2 linked regions of the Drosophila melanogaster genome follow. The protein of the gene in region 1 purifies or fractionates together with the protein of each later gene. This does not show direct contact. Each region holds a gene or a part of one and is shown on either strand. Other genes may lie near its edges.

Region 1 (9,977 bases):
GTTGATTAATTTTTCTATTTTTTTTTTTCATAATTAAAATTTGTTTTCTTTTGTTGTCTTGCTAATTTTTTTACCATATTTTGGCATAGTGTACGCATGTGCTGGCCAAAGTCGTTAAACACAGAGCGCCCAAAAGCGCAGAAATGTATGCAACATAAAAGTGCGACGAGCACCTGACGATGCCACAATGTCGGAGGCTTCATTAGAGATCACCTGGTGGGGAATGGCAATTGCCGGGCCGAATTGGCGGAGCAGATAGCCGGGCCCACGTTTTGCATTTTTGGTTATTTGCACAGGCGGCACAACGGCACGTATACGTAATAAAGTTGAACAAATAAAATACACTTTCCTTCGGCGCAGAAAAGTTCTAATTTTTTCCCAACCCCCCTCCGCTTTCCATTCGCCTGTTGGCCTGTGTTTTGTTTGGCTTTTGTTGGGCTTCAGTTGCAACCTAAATTTCATTTGAGGCACAAAACTTGTTTAGTTGGCAAACTTTGCGCGTCGTCAATAAGGCTTGGTGGCCATATCCGCAGATGCGCGGGGTCTGGAGCTTCGGGGTGGCGGGCGGTTGAGCCCAGACAGTTTGGCATGGCCGCACGCCATGATATAATCTGGCACTGGGCCGCCGTATATATTACGCGCTGCCTAACAACTCCCGCCCACAACACCTCCTCACCGGAGGCAACTCATCCACAAATGTAGGTACACGCTTTGGTGAAGAGGCCACTGGGTCGCAGGGTGCATATTGATGGAGTAGAGGTCGCCCAAAAAGGCATCTCCAATTTGCCATGGAAAATGTCTGACTAAAACTAGTCCGCTCCGCACAAGTTCAGGGATTAAAGATAGTGGGAATTTGAAAGGAGAAACACTGAAATGGACGGCATTTGATTTATACACTACTCGAGTAGTGAGTTTGTAAATTAAAATTTTGAAACGGTGCTTAGTTAGAATCTAGCTATATTTTGGAATTTTATTATGCAATGTTCATTAAATTATTTCAAAAATTGATAAAGCACTTAAAAATGTTACTTTTAAGGTATATTTTTTTGTAAATATGCCAACTAACAAATAAGTTCCATTATTATTCCTTGACTCAGTTTTAAGCTTCTGAGGGTATTCCATATGCCTCGTTCACGGACATGATTTTGGCCTCCCCCGATTAGCCATATCGATTCAAGCCACACTTTTAGCTTGTCTGCGTGTGTGTGTATGAGGTTGGGTTTTTGGGGTGGGGTTTTAGGTTGGGTTTGAGGTTGAAATGCATAATTGGCGATTAGACGATTGGCCCTAATATGCCAAAGCGCAGCAGCGAATAACATGGGAAGCGCAGCATGGCCAGCTTTGGCTTTAGCCCCATCTTCGGACAGCATTCGAATGGCCAACTAATTGGGTCATGTCATCCCCAGGTGACCTGCGAGCCCCACCACTGCCCCCTCTGCCCGGCTAGCCGAGCATAGCATACCTACCTTTGGCTGAAATCTTGGTGGTAAAAAATAATGACAATGGTTTATGTTTTTCGTTTATATATAGATATATATAATGTTATATATATTTCCTTTTTGCTTTGTTGTTCATTCAGTTGCTTTCATGCATTCAATGCCCGCCTTTTGTCTGCGGGCTATCTTCTTTCTCCCTCCCGCTCTCGACTTTCTCTTCCTCCCTTTCCATCGCTTGTTAGCTATGCCGCTCTGTTGATAAGTGTACACATCTATAGACTATATACTATACGTAGGTTTATATTATACAATACATAATACATAAGTTCAACTTAAATGCTACGGTTTTTTCTTGCTCTTTTTTTTCTCGTTTAAGATTACTTTCGGCTGTGTGTGTGTTCTGTATCTGTGTTTGTGTGTGTGTGTGTGCCTACGAGTCCTTTGAAGACTCCTGCGCTCATTTAGATGCAAAGAAAAAAGTCTTTGGTTTACCTTAAAAATATTATTTTGTTTGTGTTTCCTTCTGGTTTTTGTTGTCTGCTTAAATTCTAAGTCTTAGCACATACGGGCAATTAATATCTTGTGGATACGCTTTAAATCGTTACAAGGACAAACTGACATACATCTACATGTACACGTATCTGTCTATGTGTTTCTTTTGCCTGTGATGTGTTAGTGAGCGTGTGTGTGTATGTATGTGTGTGTGTGTGTGCACTTTGAGTACAATTTACATATGTTATATTACGTATGCATTCGTCAAATATTTTTCTCTGTCTTCAATTTGAATTTTCTCCGATTGGTTTTCATATTTGTTTTTTGACTGCCCACAGTTTTTATTTTCTTAAATTTCATCCCCCCGAGTTTGCATTCTGATTGATTTAGTGGGAAATTTAAAAACATGTGGTATTGGTTTTTCAAAATTTGTTTCTTAAACTTTTGGTAGCAGTAAATAACGTTTTAGGGTAAATAGTGCACAGCAAATAACGTTTTAGAGAAAGCGAACTTAATTTGATTACGATTACATTTTTGCAAATGCAATAATAAAATAAAATAGATGCAAATTAGAATGGATGACAAAATCATGTTGATACTGGAGACAAAAGTAACAAAAAAAGAATTTAATACAATTGGCAATTATATAACAATTTTAAATTATCTCGTATATAAATAGAATGTTAGATAATAATAGTTCCAAAAACTTCTTTACTGCTACCCCTTTGGTAAGACTTATAGTCCGACTTAGCTTAACAATATTTCACAGCTTCTATCGGGAAATAGAATGGTTTCAACAATAGTCGGATCAAGAATTGGTTTTCCTTTGTCTATGGGTTATCTAATATATACAGTTACCAAGATTTATATAACTTCTTCGGCAGTTTTACCATGCATGTGAACGTATATTATACAAATGTTGAGCCACAAGTTGGGATTTTCGGTGTCTGATTTATGATAATAACTCTTGGAGGAAGGGCTTATTGGTTTTGGGTTCCTTTTTCCTTTTTTTTTTCTAACCGAACAACGAAGAAATTACACACACACATGCACACACATAGTCACATACATATTCATATATATGTGTATATATATTCATATTTATAGATTTAGTTACATTCACATGGTTGGTTTTCCATATATGTATTTTTGGGTTATTTTTACGTTATGCGGGGAGTTGAGAGTTTGTCATGTTATTCAAAGAAAGAATGCTGTACATATCCTATTTTAAATTAGTTTAAGTTTACAATTAGTTTAGTTTAGTTTAGTTAGTTGAGTTACTTGCCAAGTATACTTTAGTGTAGTGCAGTTGATTTCGTTTTAGCTTTCTCTTTGCTTTGGGCAATTATTATCTTCATTCGCATTATCTTTTTGTCAGACACTATCACAAACAGTTCGCTTGCACAATAATCGCTGCTCGCCTAGGACCCCGGAGCTATCTATCAGTGTTATACCTAAAAGAGCTACCTCCCATCCGTCGCTACACCTTATTTGTTTTTTTTTTTTTTATTATTTTTATATCTCTTGTTTAGTTGTGTTAAGTTTAGTCAGTTCTTGGTTTGGTTTCCTCGCCGTTCCTTCCGCCGAGAAGCGCTGCGCTTACACATCCGTGCCGCATCCTTCCTGGTATCCCTCGTCCGGCGAATTCCGGCTGCTGCTGATCAGGGCCCTTTTCAGCGCCGTCACGGGTGGCAGGACGGGCACACCGCCCTTTTGCCACACCCGTATCGTCTTGGCGTTAATTGGCTGCCCGTTGGGCAGGATGGAGCAGGAGGAACTGGAGGTGCTGGGATTTGCCGCCTGGTTGGCATGGCCACCGCTAACCGCTGGCGTCGGCGACGACCGTGAACTGCCGCCCCCGCCACTGCCCTCGTGCAGGCGTGGCAGTGTGCGGCTACTGAAGTGCGGACTGCTCCCGGTGGAGCTGCCCTCCTGCTTCTGATGGTTCAGCGTGGAGGTCAGCTGCTGCTGGAGCTGCTGCAGTGGATGCATCTGCAGCTGGTGGTTGTGCTGGTGCTCTGCCCCCGGCACCAGAGGCAGACCATAATCGTTGGGGTAACCCGATGAGGAGCCACCCGACAAATTAGTGGTTACCGTCGACGCCGTCGAGGTTCCTCCACCGCCACCCGTCATCATGCCCTGCTGGAGGTGAGATCTCGGGAATGTCTTGCTAAAATAATCCGTGGCCGCCGTTCGCTCATGAAGGTCGTACAGCTGTGTGGAGTCTATGATGGGCGTCTTGTCGGTGTAGCGCTTCATGAAGAGGTCATCCGCGGATGTGGTGCCCACTGGAGCACCATGTTCCCACAGACCCGAAGGATACAGGGAATCGCAGCCGTTGGCGCGACTATACTCCCCACTGCCGCCGACTCCAACACCACTGATGGGTGGTATCTTCAGATCCGCAAACTCGTCGCTCCCAAAACGTTTGGTATCATTAATGAGATCAGGATTGTTGCCACCGTTTCCGGTGGATCCACTGGGCGAGATGAAACAGGAGGCAGTGGACAGGACACTTCCGTTGTTGTCATAGCCCTGCGTAGAGTACGGAAGATCTGTTAGCCTCGGCGGTTTCTGCACGGGATTTGCACTGCGCTGATCGTGAACTCCATGCGGTACACCTCCCCGTCCGCTGCTTTTCCGCTCCAGAGTTCCTCCCTGCACCACTCCGCCATCGATTATGTTGGCCACAGCTCCATTGGCGATGACCACGCCGCCAATACTGCCATTTCCCGTTGCGGGCTGCGTCTTGTTTGTTATGGAGTTCTGGTGGTTAACAGATGTTATCACCTCCATGTGATTGGGCGTCTTGCTATCGACATACGGCTGCCGTTTTACCCTCAGGAGCAGGCACATGATAACCCCAAGGGCAAACACAATCAGAGCAACCAGGGCGGCACTCAGACCCACAATTTGGCCACTACCCAGGGAGGCCATGCCCGCAGCTCTCATGCTCACGTGCAGGGTGAAGTTGGCCTCGGCCATCCCAGCTCGATTCTCGGCCACGCAGTAGAACTCACTGGAATCCGTTTCCTGTGCGTTGGTCAGCACCAGTTTGGATCGCTTTTCGAATCCACCTTCCACCTGCTCCAACATGTGTATCCTCTGGTACGCGGTGAAGGCGGAATTGTTGGCCAGCAGCCGTCCGTTCCAGTACCAGTTGATATTCGCAGCTGGAACCGCTCGAGCTCGACATGTAATCGAGGCATTCTCGCCCATGGCCGCCTCCACATAATGCGATATGGGCAACATCTCCGGTCGGCAGGCAAACTCATCCACATGCAGATCCGCAAAGCTGCGATCGATAATCCTTTCGGGGCCACCCGAGCAAACCGGTGCCACCGGATAGGGTATGTTCCTCTTCATCAGCCAGAGCTTCGTGTCCCTCAATCGACAATCACAGAGCCAGGGATTGTCGTGCAGTTCGATGCCATGAAGACGACTCAGGGTCTCAATTGTCTTGGGCAAAAGCTCGCTCAGTTTATTGCCATTCAATCGGAGCAACGTCAATCCTTGGAGGCCACCAAATGCCTGGGCGGAAATGGTCTGAATATCGCAATGCGACAGATCCAATTTGTGCAGCGATGGTGTGTTCCCGAAGGCCTGGCTCTCGATTTTGTGTATGTGATTGGAGGCCAGGGTGAGTTCGCGCAGTGAGGGTATGTGGCCCAGGGCCAAACTGGGCACGGTAACCAGCAGATTATGTGACAGATCCAACTCCACCAGATTGGTCAGTCCCTTGAAGGTCTCCCGCTCGATTTCGCCGATCTTGCAGTTCCTCAAATACAGCTTCTGCAGATTTAGCAGATTCGCACGGATGAACTGCTCGTTGGAGAGGGTCTGCAGCTTATTACCGGACATGTCCAGCACCTGGGTATTGGGATCGATGTGCTCGGGTATCTGGATGAGGTGGCGATCGATGCACTCCACCGTCTGCTTGCCACCCTTCCACTTGCAGGCGCAAACCGTTTGGCAGGTGCTCTGCTGCTGGGCGGGGGGATCCAAGTCGGAGTGGGTGGGCGGAAAGTGCTGGCTGGGGGGCATGTAGCCATCCTCAGTCATCGGCTGGCTGTCCGCTATGGAGTACACCTCGTTCTGGGACGAGGGGGCGGGCCTGTAGCCTCCAGGGCCCGATGACGATGCTCCTCCATTGGCATACAGATGCAGCTGATTGTAGCGAGTGCCCAGGATCATTCCAGGCAGCAGGGTGAGGACCAGGAAAACTGCTTCCCTGATATGCATTTTCCTGGATTTTTCTTTAAGTCTTCTAGTTGAGCGTTCTAGGCCAAAGCCCAGTGTTTATTTGCGATTAGCAATATCATGGGGGTTTCAGTTGTTTTAGTTATGATATGATGAGTTAACGATTTTCACACGAATACATCGGTCTTTTTGTAAGTTTTTTAATTTGTTTATGATATTTTATTCTTTTATCTGAGTTAGTTTCTGATTTAAACTAGTTGATGTGTCCTGTGTTGATATGGAAACGTTTCCAGTTCTCGTTTAAATTTATATAGATTTTGCATTACTTTTTGCGTAACTCAAGGATATGTTTCGTTGGGTTGACCTTTTGCTCTTACTTTCGTGCGATTGTATCCTTCGTTTTTCTGCGCCCCTCTTTTAATTATGATATGGAAACTTCCTTATGGGTCAAGCGGAAAATTGATTAATTGCCGCCTTGGCTTCACTTGTTGTTGCTGCGGTTTTCGCCAAGATTTTCATGTTTTGCCGTAATTAGCGCTCGCCCAGACCCAATGTTATTTATAGGGCTAGCTCCCGCACACACACGCGCGCTCTCTCACTCGCACACACACACACACTGGCACACTCGTTTGGATGATAATCGTTTTTATTTTTCGGCCAACGAAATTCGTATTTCCCTGGCTGTTTTTTCTATTATTCTTTTTCTACGCAATTTTCCTTCAGCTATTCTGGATTTTTTCCTCTTCACGTGCTGCTCATACATGTGTATATATAATATGTATGTATATTTTCTTATTTCTTTTTTTTTTAATGGTTGGTTTGTTTTGTTGCTTCGGTTAGCACATTTTGCCACGCAAAGCTTTAATTCGCATCGCGTTTTTTCGTCGTTTTCGGTTTCGTTTTCGTTTGCGCTACGAGCGAACCTCGGTCCACGCGAAAGGGGATGGTGTTTGAATTGGATTTTTGGAGCGAGGGCGGCGCGATGAGTTGTGATCTAGGCATTGATTGTGCCCATTGCCATTGCACACACTGGCAATTGTTTTCACTGCACAAAATAACGGTGTGTCCTGGCTAGCGGTACTCTCACACACAGACACACACTCCAGCGGCACTCTTACACACACAACGACAGCGACAGCTACAGCGGGAACGACGCAACCGCTCGGCAGCGTACATCGACTTGAACTGAACTGAGCTTCTTCGATTTCAATCAAAGCCTCCGCAGTCGCTTTGCCACTCGGCCGCCGCCGAAGTAACTTCGGTTGCTCTTCTGCCGCTCGGCTCGCGAGCGGACAAAACGGAGAAAGCAGACAGAGAGAATGGTCGTGTGTTGCCGCAACCGTTTCGCAACATTCGCATGCAACATGTGGGGACTGCCGAATCGGTTGAAAGGATTATATTACACACGCCTCCGTTGTAAAAATCTCGAATTGGCTTCGCGCAGTATAAACAAGGATTTATGCGGTATAAATAAACATCCGTGGGCCGATCGCATGACATCATTAAATCGCATTTAATTGGCCCGACCTGTTTTGTTGTACTTTATAATAATATTAGCTGTGGTTGCGGTAATAATAAGGAATTCCTTGAAGTAGAAAATTTATGAAGAATGCAGACTTTGATTAAACGTACAAAGGCCCAACTCTTATCCGCCAAGAACACAATTTATATTGTGGCCTCGTCGAGCTTAAAATACTTGGAAATGCAATTGTTTTTTTGTTTTTAAGCATTTTGACAGCTAAGTCATAAATAACATTAATTTACCACCATATAGAATTCTAATCAGCTTTCGAAATTCTTTATTTTCCCAAAGAAGATACCTTTCCGACTAACTAACACGTCTTGAAAATGTTTTACAAATTTGTGGAGTCTGTTTACAGTGTTTGAATGTACTTTGGGTGTTCCTAACTCGCCATTCCCATTCCTTATTCCCATTCATCGAGGCCCCCGCTTCACCTCCGCACCTACAGTCAATCAAAAACAAAAACAGACCCAAAAAAGAAGTCAAATTAAAAGAAAGCAGTACACGAAAAGAAAATAATAGCAACTTGCTAAAATTAATGATACTTCAAGTTCCTTCCATCATATTCGTAAAAATAGGTTTCGCTTATTTTAAATAAATAAATAATTTAATAAATGTATTATAAATTTTAGTTTGTATTATAATATCATACATACCACATTTATTACACATTTGTAACAATATATATATGTCTTTTCATGCTTGAATATTCCATTGACTTAATTTAAAAGTTGTGAGTTGAAATCACAGTTTACCATACATTTTTTCAGTGCTAAACAACAAAAAGAACTGCTAAGCTTGCAGCCGGCAAGACGAATGAGTAGCTGAAAAAAGGCGACTTCGCTTCGCTTGTCTTTTCTTTGCCTGGCTTTGCCAGTCGAGTGCGGCGTAATTTCAGTCTTGACCGAATGAGTCACTTCCGCCAGATACGAGATACTGAAGCTAAACTGAATGAATTGGCTGGAGCTGCATGGTGTGCAGTGCACACTGTGCACAAATTTCACAATGTGATGATTTTATGGCCGGCTCGTTCATTCAAGATCGGTTTGCATAGTGAAAGAGCTCTCATGTCGACCGATCCGGTCGCAAAAAACTATCTCCGCTTAGTTTAATGATGCTCCAGAACCAGAACTCAAACCAGTACCCGAACCATAGTCAACACTGGGAATGGGACTGGGACTGGGATTGGGAATGGGAATGGGAATGAGAAGAGCTCAAACTAATTAGCCCGAGGGGCCAGAAGTTGAGCTTGAAGTGGAGCCAGAAATTGCGTATAAGTTACTTCACCTGCGGAAGACTCGGGGCAGCTACATGATACCTCTCGTGTCTTTTGGCCAGACAGGAAACGCTCTCAGTGTTACCTGTTTTGCCCCACTCCCTTCCCAACCTGTCTCTCTATTCCATATGAATGAAACTGCAGCCGAGATGTGCCATAGCAAACCATCTACCATCTACCAGCTGCCTCCGTCGAGATTCAGGTACAGATTCAGATTGCCTGAGAAGTTTTCGCAGCAAACTTGTTTACAGCCAGCAAGCGCGCAGGCATGGGGAAAAAAAGACAAAAAAAAAAAAAAAAAAAAAACAGAACTACTTGCCTTGTTGTTTGTCCTCTTTCGGCCGAGAAAAAACGCGATTGCATATGCTTGTTACACTCCAAGATACATTTTCCGAAAAGATACATTTCCATTTTCCCACCCACTCAACGAAAACAACTGAAAGCTCAACATTGCAGACATTGATTAAGGTCAGTTATGATTGCTGTGTATTATTTTCTCGTATTTTCCACTGCTTCGTTCGTTTGTCTAAGCTCCAAAAAGTGAAATCTTCTCTTGCGTGTTTCGGTTTTTTGTCTTCTTTTTCCGTTTTTGCTGTCGAATTTTCGTTGAATTGTTGGGCAGTCATGCATGAGTATCTCTGAGTTGACTTCAGGTACCCAGAACTAAGCAGATTGGGTTGAAAGTTGGAACTTTATTCGCTTGAATTATTAAGTGGAAAGATCTTCTCATGTTTGGGCATTTTATGTCAAGCATTTTGGCCACGTTACTCTGGAAGTGAAATAATTTATGTTGTGCCTAAAGTTTGCTTTAAATAGCTGGTAAAGGCTTGGTAAATAAATTAAGACAAAACAGAGAGGAGCTATACAAACTATTTTCCTCGAAATCATATTGAAGGTTTACATTTTCACCTTCTATAATTGCTTCATGGATTTATAATATTTAATAATTGGTAACACACGTAGTATTTTAATATGAAAACTAAAAACTGCCTTCGAAGCAAACTCGTTATAATAAAATTATTGTTTTCTCCGCATTAAAATATTTGACTTC
Region 2 (7,109 bases), on another chromosome or scaffold:
TGCAAATACATAAATATTGTAGGTTATAAGTTACACCTTTCAATTATATATTTTAATTATATTACCCAAAACTTAAAATTTATCAAGCCAATTGGGCATCCTTCTTGGGAATATAAGCTGGGTAATAAAGCCTGGGCAATGGCTCCCGATAGACATGTCCAGTGGATGGATGGACCCAGTTCAAATCCATATTCGCCAGGTACACGTACTCCTGCCGAGAAATGCGCACTTGGCAGTGCTCTCCAGATAGATCCGCAAACTCCTCAGCCGCATAGTTGTCCAAATCGATCTCGTACAACTTTTCCAAGCAAGGAAGATGATGATGGTGATAGTGACCGAAGTCGACCGAAATGGGGAAACCTGCATCCAACTAGCACATCCAACTGCAGGGCCAGCTGGAAATGGTGATGAGCCTGGCTACTTTAGTCACCAGTCACTTTAGTTGGCTCCTCCTCCGTCGCCTGCAACGCCACCTGGCTGATGGTGCGCTTCAAGGAGTCCTCCGTTTGGGTTCATCGGAGTCGCCATTAAGAGCAACTTATTGTTAAAGTTCATGTTCATTAATCAATCTAAAATCTAAAGCTAGCTCACCAACTCAACTGAGTCAGCTGCTCCTTCAGCAAGATGTTCATATTTTCATATGGTTTTAGTTCTTCATTTACAGATACAGATACAGAATAGAAGATACAGAATAGAAGATTCCACATCATTGGTGTCAATGTCTTTTTCCTTTTGGAGGAAATATTCATTGAATATTCTCTAAAACTATATAAGTTATTATGCCTGAATAGAGTCGATCTTTAAATAAAAGCAAAAAACAAAACAATTTTAAACATTTAACCAACTAAAATAGAGAAAACGTAAAATATTGTAAGTGGAGTGTGTTATTCTTGTGTTTTATATGTTCGCAGTTGTTGAAATGTTTACTCACCAAATGAAAATATATGTAAGTCCTAGATAGGAAGGATATAAAAGAATATTAAATAAAACGAACATAGAAGATGGTTACCTTGTTCTCATGAAATGTGTGTTCTATTTTTATGATCCTAGCTTGATTTGGTGCTTATGTGCCCAGTTTATAGCATAATTTGTCATAATTAATTTGGCGTCCATCTGTGTTTAGTCTACTGTACATTTCAAAATGCTGCAATACCAATTGTAACCTATCATGATCGAGCAGCATTTCATTTAGTTTCTGCATTTCAAATCAAAAAAATATACATCTTTTATTTTAAAACTTACACAATCAATTGGCGAAAAAATCGATTGCTCGCCAACACTTCTATTTCCCTATAACAAAAGATGCGTTTTTTAAATAAATAAAAAAACCAGTATTTTTTCTGTAAAAGATTTACTTTGCTTGTTTAAATTTTTTTAATTAGAAATCAAATTAACCAAATTTAAAATTAGGGTGTCCATAATTAGTTGTCGACTTTTACATTTCAAAACATTTTCAAGAAGTGTAGGCGTGGCAGATTTGAGCGATTTGTGGGCGTTAAAGTGGAGGTGCCAACATTACTTGACAACTAACTTGCGCTGCGTATGCCTCTTAAATCTTCAGGTCTAATAAAAAATTAGCTTCACTTTCTGGTATCTCTTATAAATAAATAGGAAATAAAGCTATATTAATATTAAGGCATAATAACAAACATCGAAAACTTCCAAAATTAAGCAATTTAAAGTATCTTTCATTGAAATGTAGTAATAATGCCATTGCTCTTATGCTATTATCAATGTGTACTGGTTTCCCATGATACCTTACTATTTAATTTTATGTAAAGGGAACCTTACATATTTATGTATTGGATTGGAATTGCCACTCGTTTCTCGCAGTGTATCTGGCTGGCTCCACACATGGGCGCGTGTATGCTCTCCCCTTACTGACGTACTTAATTCTTCGCAGTTATTCAGGGGCACAGAGAACGCTTCACTTTCCTTCTTTTTTCGCCGGTGACGTAATTAATGATGCTAGCCGCTGAAATTTTAAAATGAATTGCACTACCAAGCAGCAGCTCCTTTCCATTTTGTTCGACGATCAGAGGTCTTAAAATCAAACTTCTGTCAACTGGCTGATGAATTCATTCAGTTTCTAACGTTCGCGATGGAGCTGAAATTCTTATTTTGTGTTCAACTGATTTTTTGAATACATATGTATATATTTTGTACTGAGCTCTGTTCTTGAGAAGGGAGAATCTATAGTCGAGTATATCGGTTACTTGGCTAATGGAAATGCGAACGCGAAATTTTAACATTTTTCTTAGGTAGATATTATTGGGGAATGAAATAAGAAACTATTTAAAAATTGCTTGGGTAGTTTTTGGCGGCTTGTGAGCGTTAGAGTGGGCGTGGCAAAATGGGTCAACAAACTGGCTCTGCGTCTATGTTTATGTATAGAACATGTATGCTTAATCTCAACATCCTAGCTGTACAATAAGACAAAAAAAAAAAAACACATTTCATTGGCATCAGAATCGTTAAGGGTAAAATTGTCACGACTTTCGTACCATGGTTTTGTTTGATTTGATTATGGTGATAACTAAAATTATTTTTTTTTATTGAAAAAAAATTATTGATTTTAATTTTTTTTGTTTTTGTATACATTCATTAAGTGAAAAATCGCCGTAAATTTGATTTTATAATTCGTTACACACGTTTTGTTTCAGTGCTTTGTTGCTGTTGCAACCCCTCAGCTGACGTTCCAGTCGAACATGTTGCATGACGGCTCGGCTTAGTTCGGTTCGGTTCGCTGCGACTCGGTTCGATGCGGCTCGAGCGGCCTGCTCTCGAACAGATGTGCGTCGCAGTGTTGTTGCAAACGCCGGTCGCGTAGGTTGTTGCTAGAGTGAAACGTCGAGCGCATCGCCCACCCACATACACATATGTACGTACTCGAGTGCGCGAAGCAGTCAGTTGTTGCCGCCAATTGAATGGACAGTCGCGGTTAACGAAACACGAAAAGTCGTCTCGACTCGCCTCGCGTCGCGTGGAGTTCACTTGAGTTGAGTGGCGGCTAGTGTGTGTGTGTTTGCTTTTTTTTTCGAACGCCGCCAAACACGCGGCTGTTGCGGCTGTCCCGGAGTGCATTACTCACACTTTTTTTTCGGTTACTTGCAAGTGATACCCCTTAAACGAAAACAACAACAAGCCCCCCCCACCCACACACCACTTCAACCCCCTCACAAGCAGCTAAAGCCAAAAGGTGATTATATTTGGAAAAGTCACGCCGTGGAGTAAATAACGGAGCGGAGAGCGGATCAACACAAAGCGTGGTAAAGAGAGTGGAGAGATAAAGAGTTAAAATAAGTGCATAGAGTGCGAGTGGGAGAGATAGAGCGAGCGAGCGGGAGGGAGAGTGTAAGTGCTGCCCGTGTGTGAGAGTGTGTGTGTCTGTCTTCATGTACGTATGTGGCTTCTTTCAATGGTAGTCGTGTGTACCCGTTGAACCGGTTCAACACTCATCTTCGACTTACCTGCAAAACAACAGAAGCAGCAATGATAACAACAACAACAACGACAACAGCAGCGACTGCAGCGTGGTTTGTGCTTGGAAAAACATGAAAAACTGAAACTGAAGCAAAATGCAGCATCGCCAGAAGCAGCAGCAACAACAAAACGAGAACAACAACGTGCAGCTGCAGCAATTGTAATGTCAAATGAATCAAACAAACTGCATCATTTGCGTTTCCGAAGGCAGGAAAATAAGGGAAAGGCAAAGAAATGAAGAAAACATACATATTACATATGTATATATAAACATATATATTTAGGTATATATGTACGTATGTACGTAAAGTGCAGTCTGCAGTTTAAAAGCCATTAACCCCCAAAAACTGAAGTAACGAACCATCCGCACGGAGATCGCTGTTTTCCCCACTGAACTAACTTAATTCGTTTAGCCAGAATACACTGATCCCGTTGCAAATTGGTGGCTAATATGCAATATGATATTTAATTTGCAACCATATATTCTGCATATTTCACGCGTGTGTGCGTGAGCGCTGTAGGGTTAATACGAGAGCGCTCACTACCTGCGCGCCCTGCCAAGGGTTAAGCACTCAGGCAAGAAGTTTCGCGTGTAATTGACGTTGCCAAAAATTAAGAAAGAAAGAAAAACAAACAAACAAACGCAGAACAAAACAAAACAAAACAAACCAGTAAGGGAAGAACAAAAGCACGAACAGAAATTAGAAGACAGCGAACAGAAGAGAAACTTAACTTTTTCTCTGTTCTTATTTCAGGTTATATACCCTTGCAGATGGCACATTAAATTCGGTATATCGGAATATCATGATCAGTATTTAGAGTCTAATTAACGGTCCACCTGTCCGTTTGTCTGTCCATTTCCATAAAAAAAAGTCTCAGTTTTATAGCTATTGCATCATGTACATAGCTGTCATAGGAAAAATAAGAAAATTAACTGAAAGTGATAAAATAATCATCGGTTCTTAATCATGAAGTATTGCTCGGTATACAGGTGTTTTGTATTATTACTGCAAGGGTATGTAAGTTTCGGCTTACTTTCTTGTTCGCTTTTTTGTGTGTTTGTCCATGCAGTACAGTTAGCCGCCAGTGGTACTGTCGAAGTGTGCGTGTGTTTCTGCGGGTGCTATTACCTTGGTATTATTGGTAGGTATGTAGGTGCGTGTGTGTGTGTGTGTGTGTGTGAGTTGGTGTTTTTGGCGGAGCACTTTTTGTTTTCATGAATTTATCCTTGGGACGAATAAGAACTGCAGGCGAAAGGAGCGAAAATGTAGCAGGAGGACAGGGGAAATCGGGAAAGCTAAAAACAAACAAAGGGATTAGCAAAGATGCGAATATTGCGGCCCAGAAATTAAGACCACAAGAAAAAGTGCCAATAAGAGTTGTTGGGAAACAATTGGAGGATATACCCACGCCCAAACATTTTTGATGTGTATGCAGTGTATGCATTCGCTTTGAGGAATGCTTCATCTGGTTTCATCAATCTTTTGACGGAAATGGAGTTTATACATATGTATACTATCCTAGAAATGCTATAAATTAAAATAGTGCGCGTTATTTACGGAAAATATAAAATCTGTAGTCAAAATTTATGTTTACTACCCTAAATTTTTATGGGTATTAAATGGTATAATATGATTATGGATCTAATTTTGGGGCGCCTTTTTACTACAAGCCAAATTAAATATGACAGAAATGGAATTTTTCGATTTAGGGATGCGTACGACTATTATGATTTCCTCATGACGAAAATAGATTTTCCACTTCAAAAGACAAATATTCCCTACTCTTTCTACTGAGTAACATAGAAAAGCGGTGCAGAAATCTACACTTAATTTTTGTCTCACAAAACACTTGGATCAAACAGAAACAACAAATTTGGTACCCATACAATATGTACAGTTGCCACAAAAACGATCAAGACCAATTAGAAATGTGTATGTATGTATTTGATTGAAAGCAATTATTAAACAAAATTCACTTAAGTATTGTTTTTTTTTTTATTTTCTACATGAACCATTAATCGAAATGATACTAAAAGGAACATGTGAGACATTTATAAACAAGCACTTGAAGCCATATGTACATACATACATAGCATAGATTAGTCGTCAATCTTATAGATAAAATGTTGTAAAAAACGTTCTGCAATAAATAAGATTTACAATTAAAAACCAAATAAGCACATGAAAGGGATTTTCTTTTCTATGGCTTTGAACATCTCACATCTGTAATATTACATTCAACCCAAGTAAGTGTAATTAAAGATTATCCAAGGAAAGCCTGAATAAGGATTTTAGAAAAATCATAAATAACGTTAAGCAAAAAGTACTTGAAGAGATTTACCTTCAATTTGTTGACAAGACGAGACGAGACGAAGTTTTCAGTGCGATTTGCGTCTGGCTTAAGCTGAATTTTTTGGCTGTATGCCTGTGGCAATTTTGTGGTTGGACTGTCAGTCAGTCGACTGCAGAAGCGACGAATTCGAAGTTCATTAAAACTACCTCAACATTTTAAAGTACAATTGGCTTGGGGGAACTGGTAAGCTTTTGATAGAGCTCGATTTTTTTTTTCTTTTATCAAGACAATGACCCGAATGCCGGAGTCGGAAATTGTTTAAACATCGCACGCTTGTAATTGTCACCGCATTTTTTCCACCGACGGCACTCGAAAAAGACGTTATCTAAATATTCGTAAACAACACAGGGAAAATAACAACAGCAAACGAAAATTATCAAACGAGTAGAGGGTACACTTGAGGTCATTGATTTGAAATTGGAATTGGTCGTATGTCAACTTGGGATATGGGAAGTCACCAAACAAAAAAGTGGTGATAAACGATGCATCAGCAGTCTTGTGGCATGTGTACATACATAGATGCGAACCAAGGCATTTCACACACACATTTCACACATAAGCTCCCAATGTTGAGCTGAATATCGAAAACGTTTTCGACTTTACTGGACTTGAGGCCAAGTCACTGTGTTCCACTGCAGAAGATGGATAACACCACCCAACCACCACCAAGTGCTCCTCGTAAAATGCCTGAGGGTTTCCCAGCGCAATGACAAAGAGTCTTGGAATGGCCATAACGGGATGCTTTCAAATTATCATTGGAGTCTATCGAACTCTACTATTGGTATTTTATTTTTGTATTTGTTTCATATTGGTGTTCTTGAAAGCTCAAAGAAGCTGGGGTCGGAAAAATCGAATTTTTGAAATTTGAAAGCTGGAATCGTTTGCCCATTTTTTGCCCATGTTTGCCCACCAATTAGTTTTTTTTGCCCACGTCCAGTTTTTGAGATATGAATTTTCGAAAAAGTTCGAAAATTTTCGAAAATCAAAAATTTCGCTTTTTTCAAAATTTTTTTTTTTAAATCGCAATAACATCGTTTGCCCACGTTTGCCCACCCTTTAGAATTTTGAAAAAATGTATACTTTAGAAAATATAAGGCTTTTAAGTTTACCTCGGTCTAATCAGAGAGTAAATCGTTTGCCCATCTCTTAAAACCAAATATTATCAACAAAAAAGGTTTGCCCAACCATTATTATTAGTTTTTTTCGTTTGCCCACTCTTAAAACTAAATAATTTCGATTGCCCACCTTTTAAAACTAAATAATTTCGTTTG

What was found.
Region 2: the proteins of kek1 (region 1) and kek5 purify together in Drosophila melanogaster (affinity purification with western blotting; one study listed by BioGRID). This does not show direct contact.

Annotation. Positions count from the first base shown.
Region 1 is NT_033779.5:12,815,491-12,825,467, forward strand, and holds kek1 (kekkon 1), read right to left. Parts: upstream 7,298-9,977; 5' UTR 6,171-7,297; coding exon 3,528-6,170; 3' UTR 1,510-3,527; downstream 1-1,509.
Region 2 is NC_004354.4:19,350,385-19,357,493, forward strand, and holds the start of kek5 (kekkon 5), read left to right. Parts: upstream 1-2,796; 5' UTR 2,797-3,269; intron 3,270-7,109.